Kluyveromyces lactis: one gene and its partners. The protein of the gene in region 3 interacts with the protein of the main gene of each other region in a pairwise test. Links are inferred from orthologs where the notes say so. Each region holds a gene or a part of one and is shown on either strand. Other genes may lie near its edges.

Region 1 (4,277 bases), on a different chromosome or scaffold from region 3:
CAGCTAATTTTCGTTATTATCCCAAAATTTAAGCTGGATATATCAATCTCTGGGCAATTACAAAACTCCGTCGGTTAGGAACCAGATACTTCGTTGTCAATTGCTTCCCACATTATAGCATACCTATATAAAGTAACACCTGATAATGGCAATAAAATATAACAAAGCACCATAAGTTGAGGCCTAACGAGGTTAAGAAAAAAATTTCTATGTAATAATATACACATGTTTTGGCAACAATATATCTATAACATATATATGTCTGTGCTTGTGTTTGTGCTTGCGCTTTCTGATTGAATAATTGAGAAGGTGCAGGGTATTGAAAAGATTGAAAGATTCATTCAACTACTCTTGTCCAAATCCGATGGTTTCTTCCACTGCTAATGTTAGCTTCTGCTTGAAAGATTCATAATCAGTGTATGGTGGAAGATCCACTCTGTTGAAACAAGTGTGTGACTTGGGTAGTTGTTGAACTTCACCTGCTTTTTCGATAGTGAATCTTCTTGGACCATCAGAACCTTGCAAATCTTTGAATCCATTGACCGGGATACGCGATGTACCAGTTGTGAATTGTAACAAACGTGCTCTTTGCTCGTTGTCCCATTCAGTGATACATTTCCAGAACCACTGGATAACTTCGTCAGACTCTTGGTATCCACGATAATCTGTGTGTTTTTTCCAGTCTTCAACATCAATTTCTGCAATACCACCAATCAATAATTCAAGTTCACGTTCATCAAACACGTTGACTAGATCTTCAGGAACCAATTCGTTAAATCCATCCATAAATGCCTTAAATTGTTCTTGAACTCTGTCTGCGATCCTCCATTGGGTATATAGTTCAACATATTCTTTCTTGTTTTCATCTGTGACTTCGATTTCTCTGCCGTTTGGTTTCAAATCGACGACAACCAGTTCACCAAATCTTTCATCATCAACATTAAATGTTAGATCTAAAATGCCATCTATGCTATTTTCTAAAATCCATTTCAAGGAGTTGTAGACTTCTGAATCGACACCTTCCATATCTTGTAATACTACCTTCTTTCTTAGCATCATCTTATATAGAGCACCAACGAAGAATGCATCCAAGAACCTTCTATGGAATACACCTAAACCGACGACTCTACCAATGAACTTGAAGTAGTTCAAATGCTCAGGGTTGATACCACTGTTTGGATTGATTTGGATAGTATAGTTATCATGGGCAGAATATTCAAATAGACAGTAGAAGGGATTAAACATCTCGTGTGATAGTAAAAAGAAGAATTCTCTTGAAACACCACCATAATCTAAACCTTCTTCACCGTCAAATTTGATCATTAGTCTCTTCTTTAAGTCTTCTGGCGTTTGTCTCATTATTTCTTGGTAAGAATCTTCGAAGATATTCTTTCTGCGTACTCTGATGTGACATTGACCTGGTAGAATTCTTAAAGCCGGTTGGGATCTGAAGTAAATAACCTTACGTCTGAAGTCACGCTTATACTGTGGAACGTTTTGATCCAAGGAAGAAGGTAATCTAGGATCATCCCAAGTGGTGGTCTTAGTGTTATGGTCAACGAAGTATACACGGGCTGTGTTTGTCAATCTCATCTCCCAACCAGAAGGCAAAGGTCCTAACTGAGATACAGGTTGTTGTTGTATGGTATTTGTGGAAGGCCCATAGGTTCTAATATATTGTTGTCTTCTTGGATCGACCCATGTCGTGGTTCTTGTGTTGTGATCAACGAAGTACGCTCTTCCTTCAGGAGTGAACCGTTGTTCCCAACCTGGTGGAAGTTCACCCAACCCCGATGTGGTACCCCCAGTGGCAGCAAAAGTAGCAGCTGCTGAACCGTTTACGGCAGGAGTTTGAGATCCAGTACCGGTATGAACAGCAACGTTTGATGAAGACGAGCCCTCTGATTGAGCACCACCATCAGGTAAAGTTCTTCCTCTGTGTTGTCTACGTTCTAGTTCGGTGTTGACACGTTGAACCTCGGATTGATCCAAAGTGGGTCTTTTCCATGTTGTTGTCCTTGTATTATGATCCACATAATATGTTCTTCCAAAGTTATCCGTTCTTCTTTCCCATCCTGGGGGTAAACGACCATATTGATCTTCAAACGATGAGTATTGCCTGCTAGCTGACGATTGAGATTGAGCTGTCGAAGGTTGACCGGATGGAGCAGCATCACTTGAACCGGCACCTGAACCTGAACTGGCGGTACCTGCAGCATTCGCAGAATCCTGGTTGTCTAATGTAGTAGTTTGCAAGTTGTTAGCAACAGTCTGAGCAATCAATCTGTTGTCGATAGTGGAAGCGTTCGTCATCGAATCCGATTGACGAGCTGCTCCGGAACCAGCAACAGCACTACCTGCGGCACCAGCAGCTCCATTACGGCTGCCAGCTCTGGGGAGAACCGTCAAAACCAATATTATTCTACCACTTACTGACAACCCGTCGTTAGAACGTTTTAAATCTCTAGTAATAGTCTCTTCACGAGCTCTACCGTTCGAAGTGGCAGTATCTTCGTCCAAGTGACCCAGAATGTCACCAATACGAACGTTGACAACACCTAGGAACCCTTGATCTTTCTTCTTGAACTTTTTCTGATCAAACACTTGAACAGTTAAGATCGAATTTTCACTCACATTTTTGAATTGAAATACTTCATTCCAGTAGGGATTCAACGTCTTCTTTGCAGCCGCTGTGGATTTCGTCTGAGAACCATCGATAGTCAAAACTGCAAACGGATCAGGAGATCTAAACACATCCCTCCTGTTCAATGACTCAGCAGCCACTAGTTTCACAGAGATAGACATATTTCGCAGCTTTTTATTTTTTTAATGGTTTGTCAATTTCAAATCCGATAATTTCTCCTTCAAAGTGGAATCTCAATAACAAATTGAAAAGTCTTCAAACACTAGATATCTGATAAGTGGTAGTAACAGCAATAATTATTAAACAAATAAAACCGCCCGAGAAAGCCTATAAGGTTTTATTTTTTGTCTTTTGTCTTCTTTAATTGTCGTAATTGCAAAGAAACAGAACAGGAAACAGAACCAGAAAAAAAGTTGATGATTCCTCTAAAAAGAAGCAAAGAAAAATCAGATCAATACCTTGCTCAATACCCTTTTCCGTACCGTCCTTTTTGCCACTGTCAATGCACGTTTGCTTATCCTCTAGCACCTTGATCTGATGATTAAATCGGATGTTGTTTGCAAGTAAAGTATCTTTGTTCTTGTTTTGTTTCCTTAATTAAAATATGCAAATCACAATTTTCTTTTCTCCTTTACTTGTCACGTGAGGAGATTGAAACCTGGAAAAAGAGTACTAAAGAGGGATACCAGGCTACGCCGAGTATGTCAGTAAATTCGGAAACGGCATTAATGGCGGTGGTAGCCACCAGGTTGCAAGAATCTGCCGTATTGCTGTCAGATGACGTGCATATGGGACGATTATGGGCATCACGTGACAAAAATCATATCGTCCAAAATGACATAAATATAAACAAGCCTTTGCCAGCTTTAAAGATGCTGGGTTTGTTTACAGGTAAACAAACCTCTTGCAAACATAAACAGGATGTTTGCTCATATGGCTGCCTAACACACTCAATAGGTAACGTGCCTTTCTCTAATTTTTGTTGCTTGTTCTGCGTTTGGTCCTATTTTTGATTGGCTCAGTGTTTGCTAGTGCTATTTTTATTTGCCCTGTATCATATATAAACATGTCGTTTCTAAAAGTGACCAGCTCTTACTCCTCTAATGGATGTACCTGTTAACAATCAATTATTCTCTGCAGTGCAAACATTACACAAAGTCAAATAAGAAACTGTATATTGCGAAAATTATGACTGAATTCTACAGGGCTCCAGAGATATTCAGACAGAACGCCATCATCGTCAAGAAGAGTAGAAGAGATATTAGCGATGACGAGAACAGTACTATTGTCAGGCGGAATTGCAAGATAGAGGCTTCGAAATTGAACAGTTCCTTGCTAAGGAAGGTTAGTGGTGATTTGAACGATGTCATTGTCACGAAAAAATTGAAGACAGATTGTTGGAAACTGTCAGAAGACACTAGGGACGTCACTTCAATGTCATTGGATAGGGACACCATTCTACTTTCCACATCACAGACATCGGATAATTTACAGTTGTTCCAATTGCGGAATAATGAAATTAATGAGCAGGCTCGCGGTGGGAAATTGCTCCATAGTTTACAAACCATTACTGTTCCAGGAAAATCTATTCTGGCTACAGATATCATGCAATCGCAGAATAATGACACCGTAG
Region 2 (2,102 bases), on a different chromosome or scaffold from region 3:
AAGTCTTTGGTTATGGAAAGAATATATTAAACCGAATTTCGACCTGCAATCTGCTGAAGAGGTATATAAAATTGTATATTTATGAAGAACCTCTTTCGAAGTGAAAAAAAAAAGCCTAGAGATTTCATTATGGAACGGCAACATATGACTTCATCAGCAGGTATTATAAGCAACGCTTTGTCCAGATCTAGGGAACTGTTGCAGCTAGAAATATGAGAATAGGATAAATAGAAGGGAAAACATATCAGAAAGATTTCAAATACTGCTTCGGTATATATCTAGAGCAAAAGGTGTGGAAGAATAGAAAATAATAGCATCGTAGACATTCGACAATGCATTTCATCTTATCATCACTTCAATATTGTTATTCAGGTTCTTTCTTTTAGATCATCTTTTCAACAATATCTGGTTCAAAATTGTGCATTAGTTACTTGTTTTGCATCAAGCAGAACAACCTAATGGAATCATAAAAGAAAACTTAAAGGGAAGAAAGTTTAACTTAATCTCATTCCTCAGAAAACAGGGCATCGTCACCAAAAGTGTTTTCACTCGAATAGGATACATAAAGGAACCCGTCCTTATCCTTGTGTTGTTGGTAAATAGAAGACATTAAAGCTGCTGTTGGAGGTAAAGTATCATTGACAAAGATGAAAATAGCCTTTTCAGCAGGTAGCTTGATTCTCTTTCTAATTACATAAACAAATTGGCCAACAGTCAAATCTCCTGGCACCAAATATTTGCGTTTATCAATGTCTGGAATATCCGATTTGCCACCTCTTTCACAGATCACTGGAATACGGTTATGGAACTTTTGCACTATCCTTTCAGATTCAGCCTTTCTCTTTTCAAATGGGAACTCAGATTTGAATGCAGATTTCATTGCGTTTTAAAACTCTCTCCTATAATACGTAACACCGATAAAAATAATCAAACTCTCTTGAAATATTCTCCTGTCTCTATTTCAAACTAATAACCCGAAAAGATGTTTGTAACTTAACTTTCAAAAGTCTAGCTGATTTGTTCCAACTCTTGAATCGTGTTGTGTCTCTTTTTATCCGTCTTTCTGGTTCTTTCTCTCTCTCAAGAAAAAAACTTGCACGTAATAGCACTGTACTGCACTTTTCTTGCAAAACTCAAACAGATTACTGGGTAGCTAAGAAAAACGCTCTTTGTTTAGTTATCGATGATATGCGCCGCTTTGATCTTCGCGTGTGTTCCCTTTTTATACCCTTTCTGCTGTTTGGAAAATGACAAAACAAAAGTGTTCCCCCCTTAAACGGTTTGAGATGCCGTTGACCCTTAAGTCACGTGGGAAAGACAGAAAATGAATCACGTGATATCCGGGTAACAATACTATGTACGTATATATGTGTGGAAGCTGCTGCTCTATATGCTAAAGCCAGATAAGGTTTCCTCGAGCTCCTGTTGTTCTTGCTCCATCAAGGATTCGTACTCTTCCTGCAGTTCTATCAGCCGTATCAGCTCTTCATCCTCATTTAGCTGTTTTGGCTCCCTCTTTGTGGAAATATTATTCAACATAGCGGGTTCATCGGCACTATTCACGACCTCTCCTTCATCTTCTACCAGTCTATCAATCTCATCTGGCGGTATCTCGTGTTTCTGTGCTTCTTGTTGCATGTCTTGCAAGTGTCGTAGGTATTCTTGTTCCATGACGAATTGTTCCATGTCGTTTCTGTAGCTATTGATCTTCTTCTCTCTTGCCAGTTCCCGTAGTCTGCCCTTCCTTCTTTCTCTCATAAGGTCTCTAATGGGGGACGATGATGATAACGGTTGCTTGTACCTTTGATATTTGAGCTTTCGCTCTTCCAATATTTCATCAGTGATATTAGAATCGGCTCTTCCATCGTTACTTTGGACATTGTCAAGATCGGAATCGCTATCTTCTTCGTGATATCTGCCATGAACCGGACTGCTCGGTATACAGTTCATGTAGAGCTTCAAAGTTGTGGATTAACGTCTGCAATACACCGGACGGCCTGCTCCAGGCTTCTTTCCCCAGCGTACATAGAAATAACCTTAATCCTTTTGGCGTTTAATGATGCTGGTCTAGAGATATGGTTTTTTGTTCGATTAACTTCATA
Region 3 (3,294 bases):
AAATGTCGCTTCTTGAATTTTAGTAACAGGGAAAAACTGAAAATTTTATTGGTCTTTCCTATATAAGAGGATGAGATGATGTCCTTCATAAGAAGTAGCCGAGTTTCCTCTACGTGGCTGGAACATTGAACGAACAGGAATAAGTGAAGGGTAGGTGCCACACATATTCTTGTCTCTGAATACGTTCAGTTGTGATGGTTCAATTACATCTTGATTTGTGTGTTTTTTTATCTTTTGAAGGATCAAAAGAATCATTACTGAATGTGGATTCATGTAAAATGTCTTACCTAACTAAACACAGGTATCCCCTCGAGATGATGAGATATATCATTATTAACCTTATCTACATTATCTGAAAGTTTAAATTTCAATTGAAGATAAACATGTACAACAATAGCTGAATTTTTTTAAAATACTCGATGTGGTGACAACTGTGTTCTGGAAGTAGTAAATATACGTCTTGTTGCTTGAGGAAATAATATTTAAGTAGTGGTCAGTTGTACAAACACAACCTGCGATTAAATATCCAAATCAGAATCTGTGATAATATCTTGATCTTCTAACGTGATTGGCCCTTCTGTGTTCTTATTGCTTGCAGTTGGAGTTACAAGCTTTACATCGGATTTTTCTTCGGTTGAGGCAGTTTTGTCCGTGCTTGTGTTTAATTTAGAAGTGGGTGTGGATCTTGTTGGAGATTCACTGTGCGGTGCCAAGGTTTTCAAAGGAGAACGGTTATTCTTACCCCTTACTTGTTCTGGAGTGTCTATGTATGTTGTCTCTGCTACGACTTTCTTGGCCCTTGATGGTAATTGGGGTGGGATATCGTCATCAGATCCAAAATCTAGATCATCGTTGTGCAATGAGATCCCAGCATTTTGTAATTTCGTTTGGCCATCGACGTTGTCATTGCCATCACGGTAACGATCTCCGAAGGAGTTAAACCTCGACTGAGAATATTTTGGACGGGATTCGGAATAATTTGGATCGTCATCCACCAGATTCTTGGTGATGCCACTGAACCATGTACTGATCTTTTTACCAGTTTCCTGGATATTACGGTTCAAATTTTCACGAATCTGGGGTAACTCCTTATCGACGAAATTACTGAACACATCGTCTTCACCGTCATCTTCGAAATTGTCATAGCCGTCAGAATCACGTCTTCCCTTTGGTGGAATTGCACCTGCTCCGTACCTCCTCTCGTAATCACGTTCACGTTGTCTGATTCTACGCTCGCGTGCGGTTCTCTCCGAAGCGCTATTGCCATGTTTGTTGAATTTCTTATCCAATTGACGAGCCAATTCTTCGTCCTGCTCTAACTGCGTTTTTGGCTCACGTCTTACACCACGAGTTGGCGCTTGCACCGGTCTAGTTGGTAATGGAGCCTCTTTTTCAAAGTCAGGGTCCGATATGAATAAAAGAGCGTTGAAAGCAGGATCCAACTGGCCCTGAGAAGCAATTAACACTGCCTTCACATATTTCTCCTCAATGTTTGGGAACGCTTCCTTCAATTGTTTTAACATAGGATTTTCCTTTTCACTCTGTTCTTCTGGAGAAACCGATTTTCTTACAGGCAAGGGAGGTGCTGAATCGTCCTCGTCCTCCTGACCGTGATCTTGCCCTTCCTCCTGTTTTTCAGCTTTTTTCACGTTCTCTGTTTCGGTTTCAGTGTCTGCTGGAACTTCTGCTTCTACATTTGAAGCCTTAGTTGCCGCTTCTTCAACTGTTTCCTTGACATCTTCGATCTTCTTGTCTTCATTAGAATCAACGTCAATTGCGACGTCTTCAACTTTGTCACTCATGGTTATATTAGATCTTTCTAATCAAAAAGAATTTGCACCTGTAATTTATCTTCTTCTAATATCCTGGTTGGTTCTGTAATTGAATATTGGCGAGATTCTGCACGGATATGTTCTAATAGGGGTTCTGGTTTTGCAGTCCTAAAGAATCTATATATATTCTTCCTATAATTCCTATTTCTTTCCCACATCATCCTGTCCATTCGGTTATCCGGGTAAGGGCCTTATTTTTTTTCACTTTTTCATCTCATCACGTCAAAGTTGAAGAAAATAGTTTGGACTATATAAAGAGGAAGACTTTAAAGAGGTGCTTGTAATCTCTCTTAATACTATATCACTCTGTCATTTTACCTTTATAGATCTTGATATATTTGTTTTTTTTTCCTAACTCCTCGGAATCTTATTATTCTCTGTTTAGATAAGAACTTGGCGATCAGGGGTCCTTCTAACCTGATACATCGTCGAGCGTGGACAACAGAGAGAAATTAGATGCCGTTGGTTAAAAAAAACTTTCTGGCATATAGTTTAACATAGGGCTGAATTCGTGCCGGCTTGCTGGTTCGTATGAACTGGATGTTTTGCATCCAGGCTCTTAAGACTCGAAAATTTTGGGATGGGTTTCTAAGATCGCTCTATGTTTCACGCACATTTTCACTTAAGCCTATTTTTTTACCGTAGATCACTCATAAACGAATTGTAAGGCGTTACTTAATAAATACATATAGTGTGGACATGTCATGTATCATGCCTTGTTCTTCATGTTTCTTAACTTGTCCATAACTTGGGCTCTGGTCCAACAACCTTGAGAATCTCCGACTTGTCTTCTAACAATTGGATCATCAAGTCTCATAAAGGGATTGAATGATAGTTCATCGGCAATGGTAAAGTGACCAGTGGTGACTTCGTGTTCCTTGGTAAAAGATTCCAATTTATTGAAATGGTCGTTATCGCTTTTCTTCAAGTATATGTAATTGCGGATGAAACTTACGTTTCCTGCAGTATACTCATGACCTGGATATACTTTCACATTCTTCCAATTGGAAGTATCTCCTGTATTCCCTAGTAGTCTGAAGTTCAATGCATCGTCCATTTCTTCAGCAGTTCCTTCGAAAAACCTCCCACATCCACCAGTGAACAAAGTGTCACCGGTGAAGATTGCTTGTTCTTTGGTTTCAGGGTCACGCACGTAGTAACAAGTGGAATCTTGGGTATGGCAAGGTGTTCTAATACACAAGATTTTCAAGTTCCCCAAGGTGTATTCATGTAAGTTATCTGGGATATCATTCGCAATTGGAGAACGTTGAGAACCGGCAATGACTCGAGATATATTATTGCCCTTTTCATTCAAGGCTGCAAGTGTTGACACATTGCCACCAGCATGATCATAGTGATGATGAGTGTTTACAAGAGCTTCAATGCTTTTTGCTTCATCACTGCCAAGATCATTCATCACTTCCAATGTCTCAGCAGGATCGATCAACCAACTCTTTTTCTT

Evidence for each region.
Region 1: the proteins of CUE5 (region 3) and RSP5 interact in binary tests that used the Saccharomyces cerevisiae proteins (3 or more experiments, as listed by UniProt). The link is inferred for Kluyveromyces lactis from reciprocal best matches to the Saccharomyces cerevisiae genes CUE5 and RSP5.
Region 2: the proteins of CUE5 (region 3) and ATG8 interact in binary tests that used the Saccharomyces cerevisiae proteins (3 or more experiments, as listed by UniProt). The link is inferred for Kluyveromyces lactis from reciprocal best matches to the Saccharomyces cerevisiae genes CUE5 and ATG8.

Annotation. Positions count from the first base shown.
Region 1 is NC_006041.1:1,196,661-1,200,937, reverse strand, and holds RSP5 (NEDD4 family E3 ubiquitin-protein ligase), read right to left. Parts: upstream 2,806-4,277; coding exon 346-2,805; downstream 1-345. Other genes in the region: DSE1 (Dse1p), read left to right, coding at 3,752-4,277. UniProt on the Saccharomyces cerevisiae protein: E3 ubiquitin-protein ligase which accepts ubiquitin from an E2 ubiquitin-conjugating enzyme in the form of a thioester and then directly transfers the ubiquitin to targeted substrates.
Region 2 is NC_006041.1:1,828,475-1,830,576, reverse strand, and holds ATG8 (ubiquitin-like protein ATG8), read right to left. Parts: upstream 881-2,102; coding exon 506-880; downstream 1-505. Other genes in the region: RTT105 (Rtt105p), read right to left, coding at 1,387-1,950.
Region 3 is NC_006042.1:1,483,865-1,487,158, forward strand, and holds CUE5 (ubiquitin-binding protein CUE5), read right to left. Parts: upstream 1,803-3,294; coding exon 519-1,802; downstream 1-518. Other genes in the region: hydroxyacylglutathione hydrolase GLO4, read right to left, coding at 2,542-3,294. UniProt on the Saccharomyces cerevisiae protein: Connects the ubiquitin pathway to autophagy by functioning as a ubiquitin-ATG8 adapter and thus mediating autophagic clearance of ubiquitin conjugates under starvation conditions.